3 linked regions of the Arabidopsis thaliana genome follow. The protein of the gene in region 1 interacts with the protein of each later gene in a pairwise test. Each region holds a gene or a part of one and is shown in the gene's direction. Other genes may lie near its edges. The genes, in order: AT3G49160, AT2G42910 and HIPP20.

Region 1 (11,624 bases):
GGTTCAATAAGAAAAGGCGAGCAAATCCATTCTCAGGTGGTTAAACTCGGGCTCTCGTGCAATCAACCCGTCTGCAATGCTTTGATCTCTATGTATTCCAAATGTGGAAGCATTGACACAGCTTCCCGAGTCTTCAATTTTATGGAAAATCGTAATGTCATCTCGTGGACTTCAATGATCACAGGTTTCGCTAAACACGGATTCGCTATAAGGGTACTCGAAACATTCAACCAAATGATAGAAGAAGGGGTGAAGCCAAATGAGGTCACTTATGTTGCAATCTTATCGGCATGCAGCCATGTTGGTTTGGTCTCCGAAGGATGGAGACATTTCAATTCAATGTATGAAGACCACAAGATCAAACCTAAGATGGAACACTATGCTTGTATGGTTGATCTTCTATGTCGAGCCGGGCTTCTCACAGACGCATTTGAGTTCATTAACACAATGCCCTTCCAAGCCGATGTTTTAGTATGGCGTACGTTTCTTGGAGCTTGCAGAGTTCACAGTAACACAGAACTCGGAAAGTTGGCTGCGAGGAAGATCTTAGAACTTGATCCGAATGAGCCTGCAGCTTATATACAGCTCTCAAACATATACGCTTGTGCAGGTATCTATATAATTCAAACACAATCAGATAAAACTCTTTCTTCTACTGATCTACCTTGTGTGAAAGTGACACTTTGTTGAATATTTCTATGTAGGGAAATGGGAAGAATCTACGGAGATGAGGAGGAAGATGAAAGAGAGAAACTTGGTTAAAGAAGGAGGTTGCAGTTGGATAGAAGTGGGAGATAAAATTCATAAGTTCTACGTAGGTGATACAGCTCACCCGAATGCTCACCAAATATATGATGAATTGGATCGGTTAATTACAGAAATAAAACGCTGCGGATATGTTCCTGATACGGATCTTGTTCTTCACAAGCTAGAGGAGGAGAATGATGAGGCGGAGAAGGAGAGGTTACTATATCAGCACAGCGAGAAAATTGCGGTTGCGTTTGGGCTTATAAGCACGTCGAAATCTAGACCGGTTAGGGTGTTCAAGAACTTACGGGTCTGCGGAGATTGCCATAACGCGATGAAATATATATCGACAGTCTCTGGTAGAGAGATTGTGTTGAGGGATTTGAATCGTTTTCATCATTTTAAAGATGGGAAATGTTCTTGTAATGATTATTGGTGAATGGTGACTTTGAGATTTAGATACACAAATGAGGCTTTTCTATTCAATGTTATTTTAAATCTTGAGGATTTTGGGTTCAATGTGATCGTTCTTTTTAAAAATAAATAAAGAGAAGCATTCTAATTTATTTAAGTTATTACAGTTGAAGATGATTCAGACAAGTTTTAAGATACTAGTGGTATTAGCAATATCCGGTTTTCCGATGATGGAATCCCGTATCCAAAGCAATTTGGGATCAACAAGCAATAAGAGTATTGAATATTTGGCTTTGAATTGCCGGAAACACAGTGCGGTTTTGACGAATTTTGGAGCTATTGGAGATGGAAAACCCTCAAACACCAAAGCGTTTCGAGAAGCAATAAGTAAGCTTACTCCGTTGGCGGCTGACGGTGGAGTCCAACTCATTGTACCGCCGGGGAGTTGGCTCACCGGAAGTTTCAACCTCACAAGCCATTTTACTTTGTTTATCCAGCAAGGTGCAACTATTCTTGCTTCTCAGGTAATAAATATATCTAAGCTCAAAATTTTAGCTAGTATCGTACACCTATTTATGAATGCACTAAAAAATATCAACCATTCTATTTGAGATAAATAATCACATTTGGTTTTATTTCGTTTGTAACAAACAGGATGAGTCTGAATATCCTATGATTCCACCTTTGCCGTCATACGGAGATGCAAGGTTTACTGGTTTAGTATACGGAAGTAACCTAACCGATGTTGTTATCACCGGTAAGCACAACAAAACTTAAATCATTAAAATGGTTTGATGGATATATATATATGAGATTGAATCAAAATTATATATTTAGTTTATAAGATCAAATTTGTTGTTAGGTAACAAAAGAACGACTAATGGACAAGGGAAGTCATGGTGGTTGAAGTATCGAAGTGGCGGTTTCAAGTCGATATCAAGACCTTTGTTGATCGAAATCATCTTCTCCGAAAACTGAAGAGGTGACACTAATCAACACACAATCCGCTATCCGAATCAAAACCGCTATAGGACGTGGCGGTTACATCAAAGACATTTTCGCTAGGAGATTTACGATGAAGACGATGAAATACGTTTTCTGGATGACCGGTTCGTATAAGCTGCATCCCGTAGGCGGGTTTGATCCCAAGGCGTTGCCGGAGATTAGCAATATCCATTACCGTGACATGACCGCAGAAAACGTTACAATTTCGGCAAAGCTAGAAAGGATCAAGAATGGTCCATTTACGGGTTTATGCATGTCGAGTGTGACTATAGCTTTGTCGCCGGACCCGAAGAAGCTGCAGTGGAACTGCACGGATGTCTCCGGAGTTACTAGTAGGGTTACACCGGAGCCGTGCAGTTTGTTACCGGATAAGAGAACTACAATGGACTCAGACTGTGATTTTCCCACGGATAAGATTCCTATTGAGAGTGTTGTGTTGAACAAATGTTATGCTTAGAAATGTGTTTGTAACTTTGTACCGATTTATAGGTTTCATTATTCCCGTAACTAAAAGATTGAATGGTTTATGTTCATTCTTCAGTTTACAAATCCGCTAATAATTTTCACAAACTTTCTAAAAAACATCCAATAAATGAATCATAGTTTCAATAAAATGTAATTTAGAAATAATGTGTCAAATTTTACAAAATCTAATTAAGCAAACTTAGCCATTCTTATTTTTTTGTTCTTACATGGTTAAAAGTTATACATATATTTGAAATTTGAAATAGTCAGTTAAGTGTTTCATATATTCATAAACGACTTTGTCTAATTATAAAACTCTTTTACAATAGGAGCTACTTTCCCAAACTCTTTTAAAATTTACCAAACAATTTCCATTGTTGGAATAGATAAACCAAATTAATCAGTTTTCACGGAATTGGTTTGGTTAAACCGCATGGACCGGTCTTTTTTTTTCTATCTTTGGGTCTCTTGTCTGAATAGGTTTAGAAAAACAAAGCGACGTCGTTTTATAATGGGGACCTTTCAGCCTCATCCGTCCGTGTTACTAGATTCCCCGAGAAGATGAATCTGACACGCGCTCGCCACACTCCCTTTTTATCCTTAACCACAACTTTTTTTATTTCATTAAGAAAATTCTTCATCATTCTTTCTTCTGCTTCTTCTTCTTCTTCTTCGTTGAAAAATCTGTCTTCTCTTCTTCTTCTTCTTCTTCTTCTTCTTCTTCTCCTCAAGACGAGAGCGAAGACATTATCTGAACAAAGCGCTTCTCCATAACAAAGGTATTTCTCATGTTCTTGTCCTCTAGGGAATGAGTTTCGGTTGATTTTGATTCCTTCCAGATATTTTCTCAATTCCAGTAGCCTAGAAAACTTATTTGCTTAGATATGATTTGTTTCCTGGATTTTGATTTGTGGTAGGCTTGTTTTTGTCCTTTTCACGAACTTGGAATTTGTTTGTTTTTTTGTTTTCTTTCTTTGCGTTATACATGTTTCGTTTCTTGTCTTTGTGGTTATGCCTAGGTTTTAACCTCTGTGTCAATCTATAACAGTTTCTCCTTTTTCGTTTTGATTCTCAGGTGATTCAATTAGTCGATATGGTAGGACTTGATTCAAGCCACTTGTTGAGAGACAAGATCCTTTGCTTCTCCAGCAGGTCTCACATAAACAACCAACATAAGAAGACAAGTTATGCATTATCACTTAATCACATGAAACTTCCTATTCAGAGAACCTTAGCTTTTGCCTTAGCTCGCGGGAAAGGCGAAGCTGAAAGTTTCAGCAGATTGGAAGCCACCTTTGGTGATAATACCTCCACAGAATGTACCTGGAGTTTTGACTTTCCAGATTCTAAAGATGCTATGTCTCATCTCAAGTCAGAAGCAGACCTCTCTGGAAGCAATGGGGCCAATAATGTGGCTAGTGTTATCGAAAAACTGAATGCTCTTCGGTCACATCTCTTAGCAGCAGAGAAATGGAATGCTTCTCAACTACACTTATGTGACAGGTTTGTTAACCATTTTATATATAGTTTGCATTACTTATTTTTCGCCTAATTTCCTAGTACCGTCTGTTGCAGTAAGTATCTGGAATGTGCAACAAACTTAGTTCATTATATGGCTTTGAGATCTCTGGACATTGAGCAGCTCAACAGTCATCTAGCTTCTCTTGGTCTGTCAAGTTTAGACAACAACAATCTGGATGTTCTCGCCCACCTTAACGCCTCTATTAATCTTTTGATGAACGATCAAAACGCTGTGACGGAGTCTTGGACTAATGTATATCCCAAGGGAAAAAGTACTAAGAAGAATGATAAAGGGAGGGTATTATCATACAAAGAGTCATTACTTGGTAAACTTCGTGAGGGAAGAAGTACTCATATCATGGTAACTATTGGTGAAGAAGCAACTTTGAGTGAAACATTTATAACTGATATTCTTAAAGCTGGAACATCTGTTATCCGTATAAACTGTGCACATGGAGATCCAAGTATTTGGGGTGAGATCATCAAAAGAGTAAGAAGAACTTCTCAGATGTTAGAGATGCCATGTCGCGTTCATATGGATTTAGCAGGACCAAAACTCAGAACTGGTACCTTAAAACCTGGTCCGTGTGTGATGAAAATTTCACCAAAGAAAGATGCTTATGGAAATGTTGTTTCTCCTGCTTTGGTATGGCTCTGCCTCACAGGAACAGAACCTCCTGCTCATGTTTCCCCTGATGCTACTATATCGGTCCAAGGCCAAGATTTTCTTGCTGGTCTCCAAATTGGTGATTCTATAAGACTATGTGACGCTAGAGGGAGAAAGAGGAGACTTAAAATCTCAAAAGAGTTTCATGTTTTCAACAGTACCGGGTTTGTGGCTGAATGTTTCGACACTGCTTACATAGAAAGTGGAACTGAGTTAAGTGTTAAGGGAAAGAAAGGGAGACGTTTAGTTGGACGAGTAGTAGATGTTCCTCCCAAAGAATCTTTTGTAAGGCTAAAAGTTGGAGATTTACTAGTCATAACCCGAGAAGGATCGCTCGATGAACCATCTGTAACTGTTCCAGGAGCTCATAGGTTAACTTGTCCTTCCGGTTATTTGTTTGATTCAGTCAAGCCTGGTGAAACCATTGGTTTTGATGATGGAAAAATATGGGGAGTCATAAAAGGAACAAGTCCTTCAGAGGTAATTGTCTCCATAACTCATGCACGTCCAAAAGGTACAAAACTAGGATCAGAGAAGTCCATTAACATACCGCAGAGCGATATCCATTTCAAAGGCTTAACATCAAAAGATATTAAAGATCTTGATTATGTAGCTTCACATGCTGATATGGTTGGTATTTCTTTCATACGTGATGTCCATGATATAACCGTTCTTCGACAAGAGTTGAAGAAAAGAAAACTAGATGATCTTGGTATTGTTTTAAAGATTGAAACGAAAAGTGGATTCAAGAATTTGTCTTTGATTCTTTTAGAAGCAATGAAGTGTTCGAATCCTTTAGGAATTATGATAGCTAGAGGTGATCTTGCAGTGGAATGTGGATGGGAGAGATTGGCTAATATGCAGGAGGAGATTATAGCTATTTGTAAAGCTGCTCGTGTACCGGTGATTATGGCAACTCAGGTTCTTGAATCACTTGTGAAATCCGGAGTTCCAACTAGAGCTGAGATTACTGATGCTGCAAATGCAAAAAGGTAAAATATTTTGCATTAGACATGATCTTTGTAAGATTTGCAGTTTCTTTGTCTAATTTTGCATTTTGAAAATATGCAGGGCGAGCTGTGTGATGTTAAACAAAGGCAAGAATATCGTTGAAGCTGTTTCAATGTTGGATACTATTCTTCATACCAAGCTTATCTACAAGAAATCGGACTCTGAAAATCTCCATTGATCTGCTTGTAGTTTGCTTGGCCATTTATATTCGTATTGTTGTTTTATAAGAAAGAGATTTTAGGGGAAATGTACAATGTATTTAGGATATGATGAATGAATAGAGATCATAACATGGAAGGATTAAGCTTGTTGATTCTAGTTCTCCCATTATGATTCCGATTGATGATGGTGTTTCAAACAGTGAACAGTATAAATAGAAAGTAATGCCAATCACAAACAAGAACGGTGTTTTGGTTGGTTGAGACACAAAACTCATGTGTTTACGAAAGAACATTGTTTTATTACCATCCTCTTTGAAAACCATCTTTCGCATTCAATCATGAGAGGGATTGTCACTCCTCGAATTAGAAAGGTGGTAAAAACAATGGAAGCCCACCTGCAATCACAGAACATACAGAGATGATTGATATAAGACATGGTCATTTTTGGGTGTAAAAAAACACAAAAAAGTGATCCAACAATAACTCCAAGGATGACATGATTTAAAAGTTGACCAACACAAAAAAAAGAAGAAGATTTCTTACCAGTTTAAGCCTGTGAGTGAATGCACATTATGAACTATCTGCTGAACAAAATCTAATTGGATGGAGGAATCGATAGCAGCATCGGCAACTTCGATGACTGTATCTTGCTGCACTAAATCAGTAAGAGTTTCAGCAACATGATTCACATCGCCACTCTCATCTGAGCCTGAAATATGTGAAGTCGACATAGGCCGATAGGTAGAGACACCAAAAGGAGAGCATAGTGGGAAATGTGAAGGGCTTCTCATCATATGCTGCTGAGAGAGAATCATCGAACTGCTGAAGGATCTCTGATGAAGAAAAGAGCCGTAATGTGGCTTCTCTTCATGGACATCATCACGTTGAATGATACCGCTACAAGATGGTTGGTAGCAGCGAGCATTGAATAAGGATCTGAGAGACAAAGTGCGTCTCAAGTCCCTGTAAACAGTAAAAGATTAGTGAGATTGGTATTAGAACAAGCCAAAAAAATAAAAAATCTCATATTTAGTATCTTAAAAGCTTAGAGAAAAGAAAACGCTATAATAAAGCAACACTTCTTCTTCTCCACATTGCAAAACGCAGAACACAAAAAGCAGAGACTTAAAAATGAGAACTTTAGAGCCAGTGAGCACAAAAACGCAGAGCACAAAGAGGAGAGACTAAAAAACGAGAACTTTAGAGCCAATGGGCACACATAGAATCTCAAAGTATCATCATCATGATCAAACAAGCTGTAGAATGAAACAAAGAGACGAACCTGATCGAAATTTCTACACGGCGACGGAAGAACAGAGAGCAGAGTGGGAAAAAGTGAAAGTTAGGGTTTTTAGTGAGCAAACGAAATCGCTAAGCCTCGATTCGTGCTCATGCTTTCTCGGTGGGTAAGACAAAATGTACAATTTCATGACTCCTCCTACAAAATGCAGAAACGATTTCGCTCGCACTTAAGAAGACGACAAAATTGCGAGAGGACCAAAGATAAATTTAAATGTAACGATTTGGGGTTGTTTTGCAATATCAGAACAATTGGTTTGACATAAGCTTAAATTTTGAAGTTTTGAGAAAACATAAAGTATATAATATTCAACACAAAAGTGAAAATGCGTATTGAGAAGGCGAAAGAGTAATACACATATTACAGAACAAACCCCGTTTAGTAGATACCGAATAGATGATTCGTAGACACGTAGAAGTTAGACCTCGGGGATTATATAGACTGTGCATTTCGACGAGGTTACTAACATCTGAAGTTTGCTTATCACATCTTCATAAATTTGTGTATCGTAGAACAATTTCATTTCTTCAAGATTCGGCATTGTCTCCAGGAAATACATGACGAGCTCTATCTGCTTCTCCATGTCATCATAGTCATCACAAATTTCACCAAATTTCCATATCGTTAGAAACTGCACCGGACTTGATGATAGGCAACTAGGAATGCCACGTGAAGATTTGCATAGACACCCGTCAACATCCTCACATTTAATTGTATCGTTGTGATGGAGCCCCTGAATCGTAGAGTAACCAACTTCAAACTCAATTTTTGTTTACAAATTTGTGTAAGCAAATGCAATATATGAAAGGTTATGAGTTAGTACATCGAAGATAAGGCTTTCTAGATCTGGACAGTTTTTGAGTAGAACCGGCAATGACTCCCATCCTGCTTTTTGGTCAGTCTTAATAATTAAACAAACCAGGTTTTTGAATACCGGTATTTGTTCACAACAGAAAGTAAGTACCTGCAAGGCATGTAACACTAACTTGTTTGTCTTCTTTTTGTTTCAATGTAGCCAAAAAAGAAGAAGAAGGGATTACAATACAAACCTCAATGGTATTGGCAAATAATTCAAGGATCTGAACATTGCTTATTCCCAAAAGAAAATCTGTTGCATTACCGACCAAATGTTCATAGCTTGCATGTGTACGCTGATGAGATGTCATTTGAAGACAGATACTAGCGTAAACAAGTGAATCAAAATTCATATTTTTATACTTGTCTGCAACGCAATCATGGTATACAAAGTAGACAAGATTGGGTGTATCAAACGAAACACTCTCCGGATTTACGGCATGGACGTCTTCACAAAAGAACGTTAGCCTCTTGAGGGTTTTAGAAGATAGAGAGCGCTTCAAATAACCATCCCAACATATATTCATAATAAATAAATCCTCAAGAACATGACAACTAGTAATAAGCTTCACAAAGCCGTTATCACTGTGTCGTAACAAGACTTTATTAAGATATAGAGTCTTGAGGTTTGGAAGAAAAACATCTTCCACATCAATGAAGGCACCGTTTCCAGTTTCTATTCTCAGATGAACCAGTGCCTTGCTCACAAAGATATCTGGAGGCATGGTACCATTATCCCAATACACAATACAACGTAGATCAAGATCCGATACCCCGCGTTCCATCACATTTGATATCCAACGAGATACACAAGTTGGATCAGTAAAATCTCGGCATGTTAGAGAGAACTTGTTGATAGGATAATCACCCTGCAAACTCAATACTCTATCAACGAAATTCTCAAATATTGTCTCATTTCTTTCTCCGTCAGGATTAAGATATACTACAGCGTCATCAAACTCAAGATTTGGTCTGAAAGCAAATAGATGCTGCCACTTTTTCGAAAGTACTGAAGTCAAAGCCGAATCTTCTATGGGAAGGAATGACAAGATGTGGCAAATAAGAGCTTCTGGTAGATCACTAATTATATCTTTTTTTGAATGATCACTAATTATATCTTTGCAACATATATCCATCCTTTTTGAATCTACTTTGACAGATCTCAAACAGTTACAACCTGAAAAATGACATGATCTTGAGTTATGTAATTTATTTTAATCTGAGAGTTTTAGATGTATGTTCGGGAAAAAACACAGTTACGAATGAACAGAAGTCGTTAAAATCCGACACGACAGAATAACAAAACCATGAAGGAGAAAATTGGGAAACTCACATAGGTAGTACCCCACGGTATTGAGAACTTTGAACATCTTTTGTAATCGTGGCGGAACGGGTGACTTCTGGTTTGTCTAAATTTCTTTCTAAAGGTCAATTTTTATGAGAAAATGTCGATCATATATGTGGAACAATGATCGATCGAGACTAGTAACTGATGGATGAAAAGAAGGCAAGGAGACTTGGTCTCTCTCTCTCTCTCTCTCTCTTTATTTATTTTACTTTACTATGTAGTGCAAAAGAATGTTCTTTGTTCTGATAGACATGATTGTCACTTTCTCATTTTCATATGGTGTTACTTAATTTTGATATCAACTTTTCAATAAGAAGTACAAAAAAAGATAGACAATACTTCTATCTTTCTTTTTTGGGGCAAAAAGCAAAAAGCAAAAAATACTTCAATCTATCAATAAAAGTCCTCGATTTATATTTCAAAATAAAACAATTCTGAAAATTCTTAAATATGTACTTGGTAAATTTAATTTTTCCCCAGAGGAGGAGTTTTACATAAACCTCACTGTCACTGCAACTTTTACTATTAACCTTGTGACTGATTTACAAAGCTCAAAGATGACTTATCTAAACCAAGTTTTAATGACTCATATATTATTAGATTTATGTTGTTAAAAAATCAGATATATAAACCCAATTGGTCATGTAAGACCGGTCTGATCCGGTTCAACTATATATGATGGTTGAATCTCTATAACCGGCTTACCTACACATATTGTTACCGTTGCTATTTGCGCTCGCTAGTCGCGCTATATATATAACCGTTGATGTTAGTGATGAGGTTCGATTTCAAAGCTCATGAAACGCATCAATGTCGATCTCCATCTTCTCCATTTTCCGAAATTCAGAAAATTTCAATCACGAAAAGTATCTTCGTCCCTACCCAAATTGGAACTCGATCAGAAATCACCACAGGAGACAGTTTTCTTACTTGGTCAGGTACTTGACACTTACCCAGATATCAGAACACTTAGAACAGTCCACTCAAGAATCATTTTGGAAGATCTACGTTGTAATTCTTCTTTGGGTGTTAAACTTATGAGAGCTTATGCTTCTCTAAAAGATGTAGCGTCAGCACGCAAGGTGTTCGACGAAATTCCTGAGAGAAACGTAATTATCATTAATGTTATGATTAGAAGCTATGTGAATAATGGGTTTTACGGTGAAGGTGTTAAAGTGTTTGGGACGATGTGTGGTTGTAATGTTAGACCTGATCATTATACTTTCCCGTGTGTTCTAAAGGCGTGTTCTTGCTCTGGGACTATTGTCATTGGGAGGAAAATTCATGGGTCTGCTACAAAAGTTGGGCTCTCTTCGACTTTGTTTGTTGGGAATGGTTTAGTTTCTATGTATGGAAAGTGTGGATTTTTATCTGAAGCAAGGCTTGTACTTGACGAGATGTCTAGGAGAGATGTGGTGTCTTGGAACTCGTTGGTTGTTGGGTATGCGCAAAATCAGAGATTTGATGATGCTTTGGAGGTTTGTAGGGAAATGGAGTCTGTGAAGATAAGCCATGATGCTGGTACGATGGCTAGTCTGTTACCAGCAGTGAGTAACACTACAACTGAAAACGTTATGTATGTTAAAGATATGTTTTTTAAAATGGGGAAAAAGAGTTTGGTTTCATGGAATGTGATGATCGGTGTGTATATGAAAAATGCGATGCCTGTTGAAGCTGTGGAATTGTATTCCCGAATGGAGGCTGATGGGTTTGAACCTGATGCAGTCTCAATCACAAGTGTATTACCTGCTTGTGGAGATACCTCTGCTCTGTCTCTTGGTAAGAAAATCCATGGATACATTGAGAGGAAGAAGCTGATACCAAATCTGTTGTTAGAGAATGCACTGATCGACATGTATGCAAAATGCGGATGTTTAGAGAAAGCTAGAGATGTGTTTGAGAACATGAAGTCACGTGATGTTGTGTCTTGGACAGCTATGATTTCAGCTTATGGATTCAGCGGACGAGGCTGTGACGCAGTGGCATTGTTTTCGAAATTGCAAGATTCGGGTCTCGTCCCTGATTCAATTGCGTTTGTCACAACGCTTGCTGCTTGTAGCCATGCGGGGTTACTAGAAGAAGGTAGGAGTTGTTTCAAACTCATGACAGATCATTACAAGATCACTCCTA
Region 2 (11,360 bases), on another chromosome or scaffold:
TGATCATCGAATCGGTTTTTGACCTGTTTCAAAGGTTTAAGCTTTGATTTGAGTTTATTGCTCTGTCTCTGATGATGTTTTGTCGCCACAAGCAGCAAAATTTTCTATTCATCGAGTTGACCAACTCATGGTCTTGCTTCGATTTTCTTCTTCTCAGTTATGTTTGTTGATGTATGGACTACTAGGAAACACATGAGTAGCTTGTGATCGAGAACTAATGATCTTAGCAAGTTACTGTTCTGCTTTATGATGCAAAATCAGAAATCAACTAGCAGGTCTTTGATATTTGATTCATATCTGCAGTTGCAGAAGGCAAAAAGATGGAGCTAGAACCCAATAAATCACTATCTGCTGGTATGAATAGATTCTTTCTTGCTTTGATTGAATTTACAATTTTTGTTTCTCACAATTTTTTTAATATCTATTGATTTGGCTATGTCAAATCTAGATATGCCATCTTTGCTGAGTAGATCATCTGAAGCTTTTAATGGAGGCACTGGATATCGTTCTTCAAGTGATCTCAGCATGTTCTCAAGCTCATTGCCCACACTTTTTCATGAAAAGCGTATGTCCTACTAGCTTCTTTTAGTTATTCAGTTTTAATTCTTGATTTACTTGAAGAACAGTGCTAATATCTTTTTGTTTTTGTTTGCAGTGAATATGACTGATTCAGATAGTTGGCTCTCCTTTGATGAAAGCTCACCCAATCTGAACAAACTTGTCATAGGAAACTCAGAGAAAGATTCTTTGGAAGATGTTGAACCCGATGCTTTAGAAATATTGCTGCCTGAGGATGAAAATGAGCTCCTTCCTGGCCTCATTGATGAGCTTAATTTTACCGGGTTGCCTGATGAACTTGACGATCTCGAAGAGTGTGATGTCTTTTGCACGGGAGGGGGTATGGAGTTGGATGTTGAATCCCAAGATAATCATGCTGTTGATGCGTCAGGGATGCAGATTTCTGATCGCGGTGCTGCAAATGCATTTGTTCCTCGTAAACGTCCCAATACGGCTGGTAGAGTTTCAGTGGAACATCCAAACGGTGAACATCCTTCAAGGACATTATTTGTTAGGAATATCAACAGCAGTGTCGAGGATTCTGAGTTAAGCGCCCTTTTTGAGGTAATCAACACTTGTTCGCTTTCATCTTTCTCGTTGAGCCGTAACTCATAGAATATTTGAGGTTTGCTCGCTCTTGCTGATGGGATTTCTATTTGTCACCAGCCGTTTGGGGAGATCAGAAGTTTGTACACTGCATGTAAAAGCAGGGGGTTTGTTATGATATCCTACTACGATATTCGAGCTGCTCATGCCGCAATGCGTGCACTACAGAACACACTTTTAAGAAAAAGGACACTGGACATTCACTTTTCCATTCCTAAAGTATGGACTACGAGAGATATTCTTGATTTGAAGTTTCAGCTTTTCTTTAGTACTTTTCTCATCATCAGCTTATGCCACATGATAGGAAAATCCATCAGAGAAGGATATGAATCAAGGAACTCTTGTGATTTTTAATGTGGACACAACAGTATCGAATGATGAGCTCCTTCAGCTGTTTGGTGCCTATGGTGAAATAAGAGAGGTAATTTAACTTGTGCGTTCAAATGTGCATATGCTATGTCTAAGAGATTCTTCTCTTTGTTTGGTACATAATGTAACATATCACCTGCTTATTGATTCTTGACTTGTAAATGCAGATTAGAGAAACCCCAAACAGGCGATTCCACAGGTTCATTGAGTACTATGATGTTAGAGATGCAGAGACAGCCTTGAAAGCACTGAATAGAAGCGAGATAGGTGGAAAATGTATAAAGCTCGAACTTAGTCGTCCTGGAGGGGCTCGTCGACTGTGAGTTTTCTGCACTTTGTATATGTCAAAGAATTGAGTTATCTTGCATACACTGTGAACGGAAACTTTTTGTATGCAGGTCGGTCCCGTCACAAAGTCAAGATTTGGAGAGAACCGAAGTTACAAATTTCTACAATCAAGTAGGTTCACATGTTGCTAATTCTCCACCAGGTAATCTCATATTGATCATTTCTTTTATCAACTTTTTCTCTCGATTGGTTAGCATGCCTTTTCCGTAATTCATTCAATCTACTTAATAGGTAACTGGCCAATTGGTAGCCCAGTGAAGGGCTCTCCTTCGCATGCCTTTACGAGGCCACATGGTCTAGGAATGGTCAGGCCAGTTAACTCAGACAATATGCCAGGACTGGCTTCAATTCTTCCTGCTCATCCTTCTAGCTTTCATGGATTTTCACCAGTCAGTAATGACCAAGGGCTATTGAATCATTCAAACCAAACTATTCTGAATAAGGGATTGATGCACAACATTTCCTATGGGCAACCTCATTCTTTGCCAGAGCATATAACAGGGGGAATTTCCAACTCCATGAGGTTTATAGCTCCACACTCCTCAGGATTCGGGACTTCATCTGATCACCGCTATCGCTGGGGAAGCCCTCCTCAGCATATGAATTATCCTGGTTACACTGGAGTGTCGTCGTCATCGTCATCTACTGAACGTCCTTTCACTGTCAGGCATGGTTTTCCATTTGCTGAGAGGCAGGCTTCATTGCTTGGAAAATACCAGCATCATGTGGGCTCTGCTCCCTCAAGCATTCATTTTAATACACAAATGAATTGCTACACGGGATCACCAGAGATACCCCTTGGATTTAGTGATATGGGAATCAACAGAAACTATAACAGTGCTCATGGAAAAGCAAACCTTGGTGTTAGTCTACCGGGGAACAGTAGTGAACAGGATTTCACTGGCTTTGGCATGTCTTCAATGCCTACAGTTCCTTTCGGTGGGAGTAGAGGATTACAATCAGTAAGGCCTGAACCTTTTGCTGAGCAGGGTAGGATACATAACCACGAGAGTCACAATCAGAATCAGTTCATAGATGGTGGGAGATATCATATCGACTTGGATAGGATTGCTAGTGGAGATGAAATCCGAACTACATTAATCATCAAAAACATCCCAAACAAGTAAGCGTTTTATTGATCTCAATCTAAGATATTCGAGCAATGTTTAAATTTCAAATGCTTTGTTTTGTAAGGTACACTTACAAGATGCTGGTGGCTGAAATCGACGAAAAGCACAAGGGAGACTATGACTTTCTATGCTTGCCGACAGACTTTAAGGTATTATACTATAAGAGAGAGTGAACTCATGATGCACTTGTATGACCTGAGAACTTACTAACAATCTAGCTTTTTTCTGGATACAGAATAAATGCAACATGGGTCACGCTTTTATCAACATGGTCTCTCCATTGCACATCGTTCCCTTCCAACAGGTTTCTTTACCTTTTCTCTTCAGTATTGTCTTTAAAACTTCTCTTCACTAGTCATGAAGTTGACTATGTATTGTGGATATGGTAATTATCCGATTCAATGGCTTGAGATTGTTATAGCTAAAAGATATTCATAATGTGTGTTTCTGCAGACTTTCAATGGTAAAATATGGGAGAAATTCAACAGTGGGAAAGTTGCTTCATTGGCATATGCAGAGATCCAAGGAAAGTCTGCCCTTGCGTCATACATGCAGACTCCAAGTTCTATGAAGGAACAAAAGCAATTGTTTCCAGAAGTCTCCTACCATGATGATGGTCAAGACGCCAATGATCACGTATGTTTATCCGATACAAAATCTCATTTTTGTTTTTGTTTTTGATACATGATTTCAAAATGCATATGCAGTATCTTCAGATTTTTCCACCGATTTCACCTTGTATCTATGAATCATACAGGAGCAACTGTTTTCAAGCATTTGGAACATAACCGCGCCTGATTCAGATTGGTCTTACACAATGGATCTTATCGAAAATCCGAGGGAGAACGGTAACTCCAAGAATGCTGCAGAAGAGTCCTCTTGAATCCCCACTAAAACTAGTAGTTGGGAACTCTAACTCACCATCAAAGGTAAACTAAGTGTACAGGTCTGGCGCGGTTATGGAAGAAACAGAATGTACAGTATTAAGGCTTGTTTTCTCCACGGAACAAAGTAACCAGTTTTTAGGGATTACTTCACTCGAAGCAACCGATTAAAGAAACATCCCTATTAGTACATTACGTTGTATACTTTATATTCGGAAACTTCTCTCTATATCAGTCATGTGTATATAACATCCTCTTGCGTGTACATTATCCTTTCCATGTGAAAGACATGATCAGTATTTAGTTGTACAACAGGTTCGTTATAAGTTTCTGTCTCAATTAGTTATCATTACAAAACCGTTACACGTCTCTCTCTATGTAGACATCTATCCATGGTTTCAATGACGGATCAGACTCTTCTTCAACCTTTCCTAGCCAAACCCACCACCAAAGGCTTAGCAACGGAATCGGATTCAGGTATTATTCTGCGGCTTTTCTCTATACTTCTCGTCGGAGCAATCTCTTTGTGGGCAAACCATGAGGCTTCAAAAGGCTTCTCCATAAGTATCATCAATGATGCTAAAGATTCTCCTTCCGGTAAAAGATTCGCCCTTTTCTTCGAATCTGATGATACGGCAGTGCGGATATTGCTCGATGCAAGCTTCTTTGTGGAGAGGTTTCTCTACGAGGGTGTTCCTCATCGTCTCCGTAAGCCTGTAAACCACGTTACCGTCCAATTCTGTGGAAACAGTAGTGATAGAGTAGATAGGTTCTCGGTAACTTCAGGTGCAAGTCATGGAGAGTATGTGATCAGATTAAGCCCATCTCTCACGGAAAGAAAAAAGTTTAGCAACGCCGTGGAATCTGCATTGCGACGTTCTATGGTTAGAATATGGCTATGGGGAGACGAGTCAGGAGCTTCGCCGGAGCTTGTGGCCGGCATGGTGGAGTATTTGGCCGTGGAGAGCCGAAAACGACGTCACTTTGAAAAGTTTGGTGGGAATTGGAAGGATAAGGAAAAGTCTGTGTATGTGGTTAGCTTGTTGGATTACTGTGAACGACGTAGCGAGGGTTTCATCCGACGGTTGAACCATGGGATGAGACTTAGGTGGGATGATCGGACGGTGGATCTTGCTTCGAGTGGTGCGTGTGGTTCACGCAAGGATGTGTTGCGTGAGCTTAAGATGGACGACAGTGGATTGATAATTGAGAGACGAACATGATATGTTCTCGTGCTGCCATATTGTAGCACACATGGCTCCACGTCATTATTTCAATGTGTATAATTCATCTTCTATATTCTTATCGAAAAATGTTTTTTTTTTTTTTTTGTCGTTCGAAAAATGATTTAATTTTTTCTCAGATAAATAAAAGAAATTATCTGAAATTTCTTTGTTGTTAGTCTCAGAAAAAGAAATTATTGGAGCCCAGTTTTGGTGAGTGGAAACTTTTGGTTTTGTTATTTCAAGGCCTTGTCCAACAAGAGTAGGATCAGGACCTACGGGCCTATTTATATAGTATATTTATTTGAGTGTCAGTGTCACACTAATCAAGGTTTAATTTTAAAATTGCAGTATTAAATATTAATGAAGGTTTTTATGCGAGCTGATAGCGGCCTCAAATAAATATATTCTCGATTGGATTTCTTTAAAAAAAAAATCACTTTAAAGTTGACAAAAAAACTCAGTTTAAAGAAAATTAAGGTGGAATTATCTAGTTAAGTGTTACTCTTTAATATTTGGCTAATTGCGTTGGTTCATGCCTGTTTAAGAAGGAAATATAAAAAGTTTTGACTTAGGAAAATGAAAATGAAAATGAAAATGATGCAGCTTCCCAGCTTTTTTACAGATTCCAGATATTGATCAGATTTTTGATACCGAGATTTCTCTTCTCTATTGATTTGATAGAGTTTGGGAAGGTTTTCAAATATCAAAGAATGGAAATAATGACAACATTAATGGAAATACATTCAGTAAACAGTACCTAAAGTTTTATTTTTATTTGAAATTAAAATAAAGATAAACGTATCATTTACAGATTTGGGGTACAGAAATAAAGTGCAAGGAATCAAAATTGTCAGCCGAACAACAAAAAAAACAAGGGCTTTTCAGAAAAATAAAAAACCTTTAAACCCTTTTTTTGTGTATCCGATTCCGTCGCAAGTACATTCGGACTCTTTCACGGCGTCAATGTCTGAGAACGCAGCCAACAACATCATGGAGACCAAGATTTGTACAGACGCCATCGTGTCTGAATTACAGAAGAAGAAAGTTCATCTCTTTTACTGCTTAGAGTGCGAAGAACTTGCTCGCAACATCGCCGCTGAATCTGATCACATCACTCTCCAATCCATCAACTGGAGGTTTTTCCCTCTTTCCCCATTTTCTGGGTTCTCTTTTTGTGTTTCTGGATGATGTTTATTGGGTTTATGTGAGTTTAGGTTAAGTAAAAATCATATCTTTATTCTGAAACAAAATTCCCTTGTGTTGGTTTTCCTCCAGAATCTGTGTGTTTGCATGTGTGGTTGTTTGATTTGAAGCTTATGTATTCAAAAATCTTATCTTTTGAGCAAGTTTCAGTTTTCTATGTAAGAATATAGCAGTTTAAGTGTTTTAAGTTCTCTTCTCTCTTACTGTTAAATGAATCTCTGGTTGGATAGTTTTTGGTGATTCATAGATGGCATTGAGGATATGTGAATTGATGTGGTCATTTGTTATGCTTTCAGGAGTTTTGCTGATGGATTCCCGAATCTATTTATCAACAACGCACATGATATCCGAGGCCAGCACGTTGCGTTCCTTGCTTCATTCAGTTCCCCTGCTGTCATCTTTGAGCAGATCTCTGTCATTTACTTGCTCCCTCGATTGTTTGTTGCGTCCTTCACTTTGGTGTTGCCTTTCTTCCCCACTGGCTCCTTTGAGAGAATGGAAGAGGAAGGAGATGTAGCAACTGCTTTTACCATGGCAAGGATTGTCTCTAATATCCCCATTTCACGCGGTGGTCCGACTAGTGTTGTCATCTATGACATTCACGCTTTGCAGGTTTGTTTATTTATTTCTGATATCCCCGGGGGTTTGCTACATTTATTTGTGGAATTATTCAAGTTCATCACTCTCTCTATATATGTTCATGTGTTGCAGGAAAGGTTTTACTTTGCCGATCAGGTTCTTCCTTTGTTTGAGACTGGAATCCCGTTGTTGACTAAACGCCTTCAACAGCTTCCTGAAACTGAGAAAGTTAGTTCATGAAAAACTGTTACTGATAGCATCCACTTGTGTTTTCAGTGGCTGTTCTTTTTTGTTTTTGCTCAATAATCTAAATTTGATTCCATTTGTTTGCAGGTCATAGTTGCATTTCCTGATGATGGAGCCTGGAAGCGTTTCCATAAGCTGTTGGATCATTATCCCACGGTTTGTAGCTATCTAAAACTGATATTTTATAACGCTTCATTTGAACATCTTTATGACCTGCACAATATCTAATGGAACTCAATTTTGATTCATAATAGGTTGTGTGTACAAAGGTTCGTGAAGGCGATAAGAGAATAGTCAGGCTGAAGGAAGGAAACCCTGCTGGTTGTCACGTTGTTATCGTGGATGATCTTGTGCAGTCTGGGGGTACACTCATTGAATGCCAGGTATCAAAATTCTCATATCCCTGCATTTTGTATCTTCATATAGGTTATAGCAATCTTGAATAAATTCTGAATCACAAGTGTTGTGTCAAAACTCAAGAGAGGCTTTTGATCAGAATCTTTGTTATTTCTGATGTTATATGAGATTTGTTGAGAATCTAGTTTGAAATTACTCATCTTAACTGTTTCACTTTCTTTTTGTCACAACAGAAAGTATTGGCAGCGCATGGAGCTGTGAAGGTGAGTGCTTATGTAACTCATGGTGTCTTCCCAAAGAGCTCGTGGGAGCGTTTCACCCACAAGAAGAACGGTAATTATCTGTGAAAATGAAAGAAAAAGTAACTAACTTTGTTCATTGTTCTATAAATATCTTGCTTGTTGCATCTTTAAACTGAAGTCAATGTTATTGTTTCTTCGAATTAGGATTAGAAGAAGCGTTTGCTTACTTCTGGATCACGGATTCTTGTCCACAGACGGTTAAGGCCATCGGAAACAAGGCTCCTTTCGAAGTCTTGAGCCTCGCTGGATCCATTGCTGATGCTCTGCAGATTTGAAGCAGTAGAGATAAAGCCTGGTTCTTTGCTCGTTTTGGACTTTTGGTGGTTTTATACTCTTAAGAGATGTGCTTTGGATGATCATTTATGAAATAATCATATCACTTTTGCTGAAATAACTAGACAGATTGTTGAAACCTTGTACTCTGTTCTTGTTGATTGATCTTCTTTTGCAATGAATTGAATCGTTAAGTTCAGAAAGAAGAAAAACTACACACGTGTGGTTGTCTTGTTCATTATCAATGGCGATAATGTCACACGTGTGTAATCTCCTATAAATTATCCAACCTTTAAACTTAAATCGACAAAAATGTCTCCGACGATCTTATCCTTCTCCGGTGTGACGGTGCCGGCGATGCCGTCATCAGGTTCCCTCTCCGGCAACACTTATCTCCGATTGATAGACACACAATGTAGTACGATGAGAGAACTTAAGCAAATCCACGCCAGTCTCATCAAAACCGGTTTAATTTCCGATACTGTTACCGCGAGCCGTGTCCTCGCCTTCTGCTGTGCGTCTCCGTCAGACATGAATTACGCTTATTTGGTATTCACTAGGATCAATCACAAGAACCCATTTGTCTGGAACACTATAATCCGTGGTTTCTCACGGAGCTCGTTTCCAGAGATGGCTATTTCGATTTTCATTGACATGTTGTGTTCTTCTCCGTCTGTGAAGCCGCAGAGATTGACTTATCCTTCGGTGTTCAAAGCTTATGGTAGACTTGGCCAAGCTCGTGATGGGAGGCAATTACATGGGATGGTTATTAAAGAGGGACTTGAAGACGACTCGTTTATACGGAATACGATGTTGCATATGTACGTGACTTGTGGGTGTTTGATTGAAGCTTGGAGAATCTTTCTGGGGATGATAGGTTTTGATGTTGTTGCTTGGAATTCAATGATTATGGGTTTTGCGAAATGTGGATTGATTGATCAGGCGCAGAACCTGTTTGATGAAATGCCGCAGAGAAATGGAGTTTCTTGGAATTCGATGATTAGTGGGTTTGTGAGGAATGGTAGATTTAAGGATGCGTTGGATATGTTTCGAGAGATGCAGGAGAAAGATGTGAAACCTGATGGGTTTACAATGGTGAGTCTGTTGAATGCTTGTGCGTACCTTGGAGCAAGTGAGCAAGGGAGATGGATACATGAGTACATAGTGAGGAATCGGTTTGAATTGAATAGTATAGTTGTTACAGCACTCATAGATATGTACTGTAAGTGTGGGTGCATTGAGGAAGGTCTAAATGTGTTTGAGTGTGCTCCTAAGAAGCAGTTATCGTGTTGGAATTCGATGATTCTTGGTCTAGCTAATAACGGATTCGAGGAAAGGGCCATGGATTTGTTCTCGGAGTTAGAGCGTTCTGGCTTGGAACCAGATTCAGTCAGCTTCATTGGTGTTTTAACAGCTTGTGCTCACTCCGGGGAAGTACATAGAGCTGATGAATTTTTCAGATTGATGAAAGAAAAATATATGATTGAGCCATCAATAAAACACTATACTTTAATGGTTAATGTGCTGGGTGGAGCGGGGCTCCTCGAAGAAGCAGAAGCATTGATAAAGAATATGCCGGTGGAAGAAGACACTGTTATATGGAGTTCTTTGCTTTCTGCCTGCAGGAAAATCGGTAATGTTGAGATGGCTAAACGAGCAGCAAAATGTTTGAAGAAGCTCGATCCAGATGAAACGTGTGGTTATGTTCTCTTGTCTAATGCTTATGCTTCTTATGGCTTGTTCGAAGAGGCAGTTGAGCAGAGGCTTTTGATGAAGGAAAGACAAATGGAGAAAGAAGTTGGCTGCAGTTCGATTGAAGTGGATTTTGAAGTTCATGAGTTTATATCTTGTGGGGGAACGCATCCTAAATCCGCAGAGATTTACAGTTTACTCGATATCTTAAACTGGGATGTCTCTACAATTAAATCAGGTTTCGCTGAATTGTTTGATGCTACAACTAGGATTGGTTTCACTTATCTGGCAGAGAAATAAGCAATTTGATAGTTTTGGAGATGTAGCGGAAGATATCATTTTAGGTATTATACTAATTTATCATATTGTTATTTATACAAAATATTTCTTCTCGTAAAACCACACCTTGATTGTCCTGTTCTACAGTTTTCTTCTAGGTCAAGCTATCTGAGCAGCACTATAAGCCAGGTATGTGAATACAAAACCCCAAAAGAAGCTTCGTAGGCTTGGAGTTGCAGTTCTTGTTACTGAAGAAGTCAGTGGGTATGGACCAGTGCTGAAAAATTGATTTATATAAATTATATCTACTGTGTTTTTCTTCCGGAAGGTTAACGAAATGGAAAAAAAAAAATGAATCTTATGCTCACCTGTTAGATGGAAACTTACACGTTGGAGTGCCTGCAATCAAAGTTCACAGATATAAGAAGAAGAACAACAATCACAAATTGAAGATGATTATGAAAAATCAGTTCTGACGTATATAGACACTATCACAATGGAACTCTAGGAATTTTGATCAGAGGTTGGTTTTATTTTTTCGAATGTAAAGTGTTTAGTATTACTTGGGTCCTGAACTGTAAGCACAGCAGCACCATTGAAATCGCAGTTTCTGGGTATAGGATTCTTCTGGTAATAGTCATTGAATGCATAAGAAGCTTGGCTTCTGTAATTGTCGAGGTCTTGACAACGGCCACCCTTTTCCAATGGTGAGCAATCAGCACCATTTTTGCAAGCCCATTTTAGGCTCGAAATCACTCTTCTAAAGTAGGCATATGGATTTTCCATGCACCAGAGTGTGTATGTAGGTATAATGCTTGTGTTCTGCTGTGCAGCAAGTGTACCAGTCGCTTCTGATGTTCCTGCTACTGAAACTAGTGCAAAGAGGGTTATTAACATCTTCGTCTTCATTTTCTGAGAAATTTCTTGCTTTTTGGTAGAAAAATAAATGGAGAAACTGGTGATGATTATATTTGATGATGATGATTTGTTGTCTATCATGTACATTTGCATGTATTTATATCATTGCCTGGAGACGTATTTAAAGCCTATGCATGTGTTGAACCAACTATTGAAATTTATAACAGGCATGATTATATGTCTTTATCTCTAATTAATGCCATGACATGCTATGCAGTTTACACTGACCATGTATAGTGCCTCTGTTGTGTGTGATCATTACAGGAAAGCGTCCTAAACGGAATCTTTCAAAGAAACTTCATCGAGAATGTTGGTTTGGAAACGCACAGCACAAGTTATTGATCCAAATCCAGAAAAGTTTGGAAGTTTGTGCTTGAAGGTTAGTTTATC
Region 3 (10,121 bases), on another chromosome or scaffold:
AGGAGTAGCAATTTTCCATTTTTTAAAATCCAGAATCTCGTGTTATAAAGCTGTCCTTATTAGTTAGTAATCTTGTATTACTCTTTAATTAATTCAATTAGTAAAGTAAATCTCTCTCCTCGACTGGTTAACCACCCGACCACACCACCCTTCACTTTTATTTTCACTCTCTGTAATAAGCGCGTGAAGAACAGAACACGCAGGTTTCTTTGTCTTTTTCTACAAGAGCGTGTATAACACGCGCCTGAAATTGGAAGTGGTGGAAGAAAGTTAGCTATTACTGTTAACAATGGAGTTATTAAAAGTTTGCCAAAGTTTTTTCTTTTTTTCTACAACCGACCGAGTCGGAGATCGAAGTTTTGAACCTAAGAATCTCGTTGTCTTCTTCTTCTGCAGAGCCTCCAAAGTCTAAATCTTTTGGTTACGTCTCTCAAACCCCAACCTTTATACTCACTCTCTTTCTTTTTCTCTCTTACCTCCATTGGCTTCTTCTTGAGATCTCGTCAGGCTCTGATCCCAATCTATGTTCGATCTCACTCTCACCGAGATCTCATCTTCCTCCATTTTTTCAAAGATCCATATATGAGCTCTAAAACCACAGATTTCAATCTGTGAATCCGTATATATGCTCAATCGGAGCCAGATTCTAACAAATCAAAGAAAGGAAGAAGAAGTGAAGAACAATGGGAGCTGAAAAGAAATGGCTTTTCACACTCTTCTCTGTAGTATTCCTCTCAGTGTTCCTTCTCTTACTTTATTCTATCTCTGCTTTCACCTCTAAACCATTCCCTTCTTCAATTCGTCACGGTGCTCATTACCCACCTGCTTTTGCTTATTACATAACCGGTGGTCGTGGAGATAATGACCGGATCTCTCGGTTATTGCTTGCGGTTTATCATCCTAGGAATCGGTATCTTATCCATCTGGGTGCTGAAGCTACTGATGCAGAGAGGCTAGCTCTTCTCTCTGATTTGAAATCTGTTCCTGCTGTGAATGCTTTTGGGAATGTTGATGTTTTAGGGAAAGTTGATCGTTTGTCTGAGAATGGTGCTTCTAAGATTGCTTCTACTCTTCACGCTGTTTCTATTCTTCTTAAGCTTGATCCTACTTGGAATTGGTTTATTGAGCTTAGTGCTTTGGATTATCCTCTCATAACTCAAGATGGTATGTTTTAATTTTGATTTCTTTCTATTTTAATCTTAAACTAGAGAAGAAACTAGCTTTTTAGTTTGCTTGTGATTTTGATTCATTTTCACTCTAGATCTTTGTTTTTGACCTGTCTTTGAGCTTTTTAATGTTCTAGTTTCTGCTCTTAGCTTCTTGAGATTGCAGTGTTTATGATATACTCTAGAATATATATACTCTTTTTCTGGAAATAAAGTGGAAATGTAATCACTTTCACTGATCTCTTTATGGCAAATAATCTGATTTAGAACTTTATTACTCCACTGGTTGTTTGTTTGTCTTCTTATGACCTGGATTCTAATGAATTTTCTTTGCTCATGATTTCTCTCAGACCTATCTCATGTGTTTGCCTCGGTGAACAGAAGTCTCAATTTTATTGATCACACTAGTGACCTTGCTTGGAAAGAGTAAGTAAACAACTTTTGCCAGTCTCTTGAACTGTTTCTTGTACATTTGGTGGGGATTATGATGATAATGGATCTTTATGTAGATCTCAGAGAATCAAGCCTATTGTTGTTGATCCAGCACTTTACTTAGCTAGAAGAACTCAGCTCTTCACTGCTACCGAAAAGCGACCAACACCAGATGCATTCAAAGTCTTTACAGGCAAAAGATTCAGAAGCTAATAATACTTTCTCTGGCTACATTCATTATATGTATACAATCTCATGTTGCTGGTTTGTGATATCACTGCAGGCTCGCCTTGGATTGTACTAAGCAGACCTTTCCTAGAATACTGCATCTTCGGTTGGGATAATTTACCAAGAATCCTTCTCATGTATTTTAACAATGTCATTCTCTCTGAAGAATGCTACTTCCACACGGTGATATGCAACGCACCGGAGTTCAGTAACACGACAGTCAACGGGGACTTACGATACATGATATGGGACAGTCCACCAAAAATGGAACCACATTTCCTTACTATATCGGATTTCGACCAAATGGCTCAAAGCGGAGCAGCTTTCGCTAGACAATTCAAGAAAGATGATCCAGTACTCGACATGGTCGATAGAGAGATCCTGAAACGTGGACGTTACAGAGTCACTCCTGGCGCTTGGTGCTCGAGCCACAGTAGCTGGTGGACAGATCCTTGCTCGGAGTGGGATGAAGTAAACATTGTCAAAGCTGGACCTCAAGCTAAGAAGCTAGACGAAACAATAACGAATTTTCTTGATGATTTGAATTCACAATCGAATCAATGCAAGTGATTATACGACACACGAGACTACATTGTTTTCAGTCTCTGTAAGGTTAAATTCTTTGGGCAACAACACAGTGGCTGCTGTATTTATACGAGGAGAAGGAGAAAGAGAAGAGAAAGGAGATATTTTTATTCTCTTTCCCAGATTTTGTAATTCCTTTGTTAAAGCCATTAGAGAACTTTTGTTCGCAAATTTGATAAACCTTTGTTCCTCTGTTGTATCTTAGTTAATTGAAAGTTAAAGATCTAAACTTTCTCCTCCAATGGTCTTCTCTCGATTCTTCAGAGTCACCGGAGTGAATCTCTCTCGACGTGTGTACTCTCGAATCTCTTCGTCTTCGTCACCGAGTCTCGAATCGATTCCATGGATTCATAAAGCTTCAAACTTTACACTTTACGGATCATTTCACGCTTCTTCTGTTGAAACCCAAGTTTCTGCTAATGATGCTTCACAAGACGCAGAGAGAATCTGCAAGATTCTCACCAAATTCACGGATTCAAAGGTTGAAACTTTGCTGAACGAAGCTTCTGTTAAACTTTCACCAGCCTTAATCGAAGAAGTACTGAAGAAGCTAAGCAACGCTGGTGTTTTAGCTTTGTCTGTATTCAAATGGGCAGAGAATCAAAAGGGTTTCAAGCACACTACTTCAAACTACAACGCATTGATCGAATCATTAGGTAAGATCAAACAATTCAAACTCATTTGGAGTTTAGTAGACGACATGAAAGCAAAAAAGCTTTTGAGCAAAGAGACATTTGCTCTTATCTCTAGACGTTACGCTAGAGCTAGGAAAGTTAAAGAAGCTATAGGTGCGTTTCATAAGATGGAAGAGTTTGGGTTTAAGATGGAATCAAGTGATTTTAATCGTATGCTTGATACTTTGAGCAAATCTAGAAATGTTGGGGATGCACAGAAGGTGTTCGATAAAATGAAAAAGAAAAGGTTTGAGCCTGATATTAAGTCTTATACTATTCTACTTGAAGGTTGGGGTCAGGAGTTGAATCTTTTGAGAGTTGATGAGGTTAACAGAGAGATGAAAGACGAAGGTTTTGAACCGGATGTTGTCGCTTACGGTATTATTATCAATGCGCATTGCAAGGCGAAGAAGTATGAAGAAGCTATTAGATTCTTCAATGAGATGGAACAGAGGAATTGTAAGCCAAGTCCTCACATTTTCTGTAGTTTGATTAATGGACTTGGCTCTGAGAAGAAGTTGAATGATGCTCTTGAGTTCTTTGAGAGATCAAAGAGTTCCGGGTTTCCTCTTGAAGCACCTACTTACAATGCGCTAGTAGGTGCTTATTGCTGGTCACAGCGAATGGAAGACGCATACAAAACCGTTGATGAGATGAGATTAAAAGGGGTTGGGCCAAATGCTAGAACTTATGATATAATTCTTCATCATTTGATTAGAATGCAGCGCTCGAAAGAAGCGTATGAAGTTTATCAGACGATGAGTTGTGAACCGACGGTGAGTACTTACGAGATCATGGTGAGGATGTTTTGTAACAAAGAGAGATTGGATATGGCGATCAAGATTTGGGACGAGATGAAAGGGAAAGGTGTTCTTCCAGGAATGCACATGTTCTCAAGTTTGATCACAGCTCTGTGCCATGAGAACAAATTAGACGAGGCTTGTGAGTATTTCAATGAGATGTTGGATGTGGGTATTAGGCCACCGGGACATATGTTTAGCCGTCTTAAACAAACACTTCTCGATGAAGGCCGGAAAGATAAAGTCACGGATTTGGTTGTAAAGATGGATAGGCTGAGGAAAACCCAACTTGTTGGCTGAAGTGGGTTTCATGGCTCTGTTTTCTCTTCTTGTTTATCTCTATTACTACATTTTGTTTGATATTTTTGGACTATTGAATAGTTATGATCTATGATCTATCCAAAATTTCAGAGCTCTGAGCATTTAGAGACAGTTTTCTATCCGAGCAAAAGTGTATGATGTAGTCACCATATAGAAAACACTGTTATTTCGTTATGAGAAATGGACAAGTCAATGTTATTAAACAAACAAGAATGGGTCAAAGTAATTGAATGGGCTATGATGATTTTTTCTTTTCACAAATAGTAGATAGTTAAAAACAGTTGTTGTGTTCTTTTTTGTAAATGAAGGATGTGGACATGCATAATCCATTGATCAAAGCTTATGTTTCCTTGATTTAGTAACCTTTAATTTTGAAAGTGAGGCTATGCTAAATGCTATGGCATGCTATATAATAGCTGTCGATTTGGTAATCTCGAGATTTTATGTTGTCACTGGCTATTTCAATGAAACCCTCTTATGGAATTAACTTCATATCGGTAACACCCCTCTTTAGTATATTGCTGAATTTTTTTCAAGAATTACTCGTGGGGTACTTTAACTCAAAATTGAAATTCGATCAATTGTGTTGAGTAGCTTAGAAGAGAAAAATAGAAAAAATATAATTTTGTAAAAGGAAAAAAAAAAAGAGGTCTAAGAAGAATATGATAATTGGGGTGTAAGAGAAGAAAATGCCAACGAAGTTTATAGGGTGGAAAGTATAAAGCAAAAAACAAAAATGTCTAAATGTACATAATAAAAAGATGTGGAGGGGCTTTATAACAATTCTTATTTCAAACTATAGACTACCTAAATAGTTTGATTGAGTTGTCTACTTCGTATAAGATCGGACCCCCACACCTTATTTTTTCTCATCGAATCATTGCCCTTTAAATTGCTACATTCCTTTCTATTTTTCTCTTATAACTATTCCCTTTTACTGTTTCTGACCTAAATTGAAATAATTGAATGTGTGATTGTGTAGTTTATCTATAAACCCTATTATCATTCATCCGATCGTGTACCTATCCAAAGTAACAAAAGTGTTAAATTAATTAGAAGGGTCATGTCGTTTTCAATACACGATTACAATTTTTTCATAAACTTATATATACATACCGACATCATATATATGTATACGACGAAAATGATCATAAACAAAATTGTAAAAGAAAAAGATTAGATGGTAAAAGAAGAATCTACACAACCATAATTGCCATTCTCAATGAATTAACTTTGACGCATGTGAATTTTGAGGTGACTCAGGTGATGTGGATGATAAACCTCTAATCCCGTGACATTGTTTTATTATAAACGACCGATCGGACATTGTTAGAAAAAAAGAAATTATAACTACAAACTCTTCTGTTTATTATTATTATTATAGTTAGCTTTTTAATATAAAACGGATATTAGAATTTTGTAACAAAGAAATCGGCGGGAGTCGTGTGCTTTAGCCCAAAAACATTGGCCTCGTTGTCCAACGTGTGTATTTGGAGGAAAACATCATTAGAGGGCCACATATACATCTCTCTAATTACACTTTACGAATATTAAACACATTTAATTGTACTTAATCCTCGGCATAACACTTGTCCATTAAGTCACCATGTACTTGCTATAAATATGGTCAAGTCCAGTCCATAATATATGCATCTCTGATCTTTCTTGGTGAGAGTAATAGACATGGGAGCTCTTGATTCTCTTTCCGAGTATATCTCCGACTACTTCCGCGTCACCAGAAAAAGGAGGAAGCGGAAAGTCATGCAGACGGTGAATATAAAGGTGAAAATGGACTGCGATGGTTGTGAACGCAGAGTCAAGAACGCGGTTTCCTCCATGAAAGGTTCGAATCTCCAACTCGTAGACTACTTATGTCATGAATGGTTTCTGTAAGTTTTTTTGTAATTTTGATTTCCATTAAACGAGTACTCATGTAAGCACGCCAAACCATTTCTACATACAACAAGCCAAATTAACACGGTCTTTATATCAATATAAAAATCGCGCAGGTGTGAAATCGGTGGAGGTGAATAGAAAGATACATAAAGTGACGGTGAGTGGATACGTGGAACCAAAGAAGGTATTAAAGAGAATCGAAAGGACAGGGAAAAAAGCGGAGATATGGCCGTACGTTCCTTACAACATGGTCGCATATCCATACGCGGTCGGAACTTACGACAAAAAAGCTCCGGCCGGTTATGTCAGGAAATCTGAGCAGTCGCAGTTGCAGCTGTTGCCGGGAGCTCCCGAGAACCACTACATTTCTCTTTTTAGCGACGAGAATCCCAACGCTTGCACCGTTATGTAATAAATAATTTACTCTAGTAGTATTATCCACAGCATGTAACGTTTTTATCAAGCAATTGGCTCTCTCTCTCTCTCTCTTTTTGTTATGTTAATGCAGAGAGGAAGAACCAACTATAGCTAGTTGTGTAAAAATTTCAATATTTCAAAATAAGTTAGTGGAATGTGTATAATCAATGTGTTTAATATCAAAGTATTTTCGGGTGATTTATGTTTTTATTTACGATTATGCAAATTATTATATTAGTGGAATTAATTGAAGTTATTTAAAAATAAATACGAAAAAAGGAAAATCGGTTAAGTGCTCAGGTTGGTTAAAAATTAATTAAGAGAAAATAAACAAAAAGCTACGTGCTGTTGGAGTTTTGTTGGTTTTGTGAAGGCAAATTAGTCAGCGAAAAAAGTGTTGTGAAGTGGTTTTGTGGTAATCTATGCGGCTGTGCCAAGTGAAATCCATACATCATCAGATAATAAAATATCAACTTTTTATCTCTATATTTTATCTTCCATTACGTAGTTTTTGACACATAGAAGATCCAACAGCGTTTAACTAGATTTTCTTCGGAGCCATTAAATATAGTTTGTTCCTCAATCGAAGTAGATATGCGGCTGATGATGCAGCCATAAAAAAAGAAAGGTATTTGTAGTCATAACTTTCTTAGTAAATGACTTTAGGTTTAGAAAATGACGCGTAACTAATCAAGAAAATTAGTAGTAACCGTAATTAACTTGGAACGTAACCATAGCAAAATATTTCCGACCACTCGCAAGGAGACAAGTCAATTTGTAAGTGAAATTAGAAATTGTGTTTCTTACGAAACGGTTAATTTATTGCACAATTTGGTCTGCTTCTTGTTTTCTTTATAACTATTTTGAGTATGTTTGTTACATGCATGGATGATCAGAAATGTAATATATTATTCTTCGAATAAAACTGTGGCACCGTGCACATATCCAACCTTAATACATTATAGTCTAATCTTAATATATTTTTGTAGTTCAAACCTTGCTGTGAATTTGTATATAATATACTGGGAGATTTTATTCTTGTACAACTCAAAACAAATTAATGCCTCACGTAAAACAAACACCTGTTTAATCCTTAGAATGAGTGATCTTTAAATAAAATCCCAAGAATATTAGAATTTGAAATTTCATAATATTATGGTGCTTATGATGAGATGACATTTAAGTATCTCGCTGGATATTTCAAATCAACTGTTTGGGACGAAACTGATATGACTGATTATTAAATTATGACTTCGCATAACTCGAAAGTTGAAACACAAAAATGGATATGTTAGATTTGAAACTGTGAAAAGGACGCAAACAAATGGAGAGATGAGAAGCGGCACACGAAGGGAAAACGCAAACGCGCGTTTGAACATATCAAGGTGGGACTTAAGGTAAAATCGTCGTTTGATGGCGACAACCGCATTTTTAGCTAGGTGGGAGATGGGCTTTTGGATAACCTCCACGTGTACAGTACCCCAGACATCGACGGCTTCCAGTCATTTTGACTAGGAACACCAAAACATAGACAGGCTCAAAAGTCAATAGTACTAGCAATTATCTGTGAAACCAAAAACGAACCAAACCTGAAATTTGTAGAACTGGATTGATCACAAAATCTGTATATAATAGGAACTTTGTATATATAATGGTTGATTTTGTTTTAAATTTTGTTGATTCAGAGTCAAATTGATTAATTTTGGTTTAATTTGATTTTTTTCCTCACACTCTTCAAAAAGTTAATTTGGTGTATTTTCTTGTTAAATTTAATTTTTAGGTTTCTTGGATTTGTCTGAATTATTTTTTAAAAGCATGAATATATATTGTAGTTGTATAATATATGATGTGTATTCAAATGAAAAGCATAGAGTATATATATATATATATGTATAACCACTATTTGCGTGTTTTTTACGTTAGAACTCATGCTAGATGATAATCTTTGGAGTAGCATCAAGAGAAGTTTAAAAGGAACTATAGTTCCAACTTGTAACAAATAAAGAATATGTTAGGTTTTTGGGCTGTTTTTGATTCTCCCTTTTGAAAAATTATTTGTTGATGCTGGGTTCATTTTGGGCCTGGCTAGGTATATTTTATATTGTCAGTCTTTTATAGACTGATGGGTTACTTTTTCGCTACTTTCAATATTAATGAAGAAAAAGTTTATAAAAAAAAACAGAAAAAACAAAAAGAATTAGTTTTAGAGAACATTAGGTTTGCTAGATTTCGGCTAACTCGCAGAGAAATGGTTCGACCTTTAAGGCAAACATAACTACAAATTTCAATGGTTGAAATTTGGTGTTTGGACATGCGAATAAAGATCTGTTTAGTGAAGGAATGTTTGTGAGACCTCCCACAAGCTTGGATGATAACCTTAGCTTTAACCATTATAGGTCTGCGATAATGCATGTTACGGGAGGCTGAAGGAGCTAAAACGATAACATGGTTAAGACAATTTTTGAGAGATTGGAAAAACTCATTCTAATTTTTTTTGTAACGCGTAAGTTAGAGAAAATATCTTAATAACGGGACGAAATATAGTGGACGAACTAGGCCCAAAAGTTTCCATGGTTTCTTTCTTGTATTAGTTCCATTAGAAGAATGTTGATTTTTTCGTAAAAGATCCATTTGAGAAGACAGAACTATTAACCTTGTTATTCACAAAAAGAATTATGAAGTATGAACCCTGTTTAATTTTCAGTTAATTTTTGATAGATATAAACCATATAATTAATGGATATATTATATACGTATATATATATATTCATTTTTTAAGAAAAATCAATACTCTTGTCATGTACATATAATATTCAAATTCTAGTTTTATAATGTAGAAGCTTACTAATTAAAAAAAAAACCATTCCTTTTTGGAAGATAAATTCTAGGAAAGTAGCGACTCAATAGTCAAGAGAATGAAAGCAAAGAACAACAAAGTTATTTGACACCACACACTCGTATGCATAAATACGCAAAACCCCAAAGAACTTCTTCAACTTCTCTCCTCAACTTTTAAGTATTCCACACATACAAACACACACACACACTTGACTTTTCTCATATAATTTCGACAGCTCGTGAAGGACAAAGACATGGAGCCTTCTCGGAGGAGAATGACCAGAGACATGTTGCTTCTAATCGTAACGATGGCATGGCTCGTAACCGGAGACGAAGGAGGCATAAAGCAAGAGGAGCGACTGTTTAATCTTGGGAAGCTTGAGATGTTCGTTGACAAGCTTCCTCATATACCAACACTTCATGGCTACCACTTCGTCAATGGCTTCCTCAAACCCAAATCTCTTCACATAGGCATGTTCTTCAAGAAATGGGTATTTAATTCTTTCCTTCTTCTCATTTTCCTTATATTCTAATTTTTGTTTCCTTGTTTTCTAATTTCTTTCCTCTATTATATATTTTCCTCTTGTTTTCTCTGTTTTCTTGAAGTTATATTTGGTATGTTATTAAATTAAATTTCCAGTCTATAGTCGTTCGTGAAAACAGATCATCTTCCATTTCTGTCATGAGGTTATAAATGGCCAAAATATTTAGATAGAAAATTCAAATAACCATCATTTAGTGATTTACACCTGTATTACATGCAA

The links.
Region 2: the proteins of AT3G49160 (region 1) and AT2G42910 interact in a two-hybrid assay, tested with the Arabidopsis thaliana proteins (one large-scale study listed by BioGRID).
Region 3: the proteins of AT3G49160 (region 1) and HIPP20 interact in a two-hybrid assay, tested with the Arabidopsis thaliana proteins (one large-scale study listed by BioGRID).

Annotation. Positions count from the first base shown.
Region 1 is NC_003074.8:18,216,516-18,228,139, reverse strand, and holds AT3G49160 (pyruvate kinase family protein), read left to right. Parts: upstream 1-3,234; 5' UTR 3,235-3,410; intron 3,411-3,706; 5' UTR 3,707-3,724; coding exon 3,725-4,134; intron 4,135-4,206; coding exon 4,207-5,811; intron 5,812-5,890; coding exon 5,891-6,008; 3' UTR 6,009-6,262; downstream 6,263-11,624. Other genes in the region: EMB2261 (Tetratricopeptide repeat (TPR)-like superfamily protein), read left to right, coding at 1-610, 705-1,186; AT3G49155 (F-box/LRR protein), read right to left, coding at 6,263-6,386, 6,535-6,806; AT3G49150 (F-box/FBD/LRR protein), read right to left, coding at 7,710-8,024, 8,115-8,176, 8,256-9,282; AT3G49142 (Tetratricopeptide repeat (TPR)-like superfamily protein), read left to right, coding at 10,292-11,624.
Region 2 is NC_003071.7:17,850,312-17,861,671, forward strand, and holds AT2G42910 (Phosphoribosyltransferase family protein), read left to right. Parts: upstream 1-5,937; 5' UTR 5,938-6,084; coding exon 6,085-6,257; intron 6,258-6,620; coding exon 6,621-6,936; intron 6,937-7,035; coding exon 7,036-7,131; intron 7,132-7,236; coding exon 7,237-7,305; intron 7,306-7,403; coding exon 7,404-7,532; intron 7,533-7,739; coding exon 7,740-7,839; intron 7,840-7,952; coding exon 7,953-8,083; 3' UTR 8,084-8,356; downstream 8,357-11,360. Other genes in the region: ML2 (MEI2-like 2), read left to right, coding at 304-354, 449-565, 656-1,122, 1,225-1,383, 1,469-1,585, 1,701-1,852, 1,932-2,023, 2,113-3,004 and 4 more; AT2G42900 (Plant basic secretory protein (BSP) family protein), read left to right, coding at 4,288-5,118; AT2G42920 (Pentatricopeptide repeat (PPR-like) superfamily protein), read left to right, coding at 8,394-10,073; AT2G42930 (Carbohydrate-binding X8 domain superfamily protein), read right to left, coding at 10,557-10,961.
Region 3 is NC_003070.9:26,799,715-26,809,835, reverse strand, and holds HIPP20 (Heavy metal transport/detoxification superfamily protein), read left to right. Parts: upstream 1-5,543; 5' UTR 5,544-5,889; coding exon 5,890-6,049; intron 6,050-6,215; coding exon 6,216-6,514; 3' UTR 6,515-6,739; downstream 6,740-10,121. Other genes in the region: AT1G71070 (Core-2/I-branching beta-1,6-N-acetylglucosaminyltransferase family protein), read left to right, coding at 684-1,164, 1,517-1,592, 1,676-1,791, 1,882-2,396; AT1G71060 (Tetratricopeptide repeat (TPR)-like superfamily protein), read left to right, coding at 2,653-4,185; LPR2 (Cupredoxin superfamily protein), read left to right, coding at 9,612-9,848. UniProt on the Arabidopsis thaliana protein: Heavy-metal-binding protein. Binds cadmium. May be involved in cadmium transport and play a role in cadmium detoxification.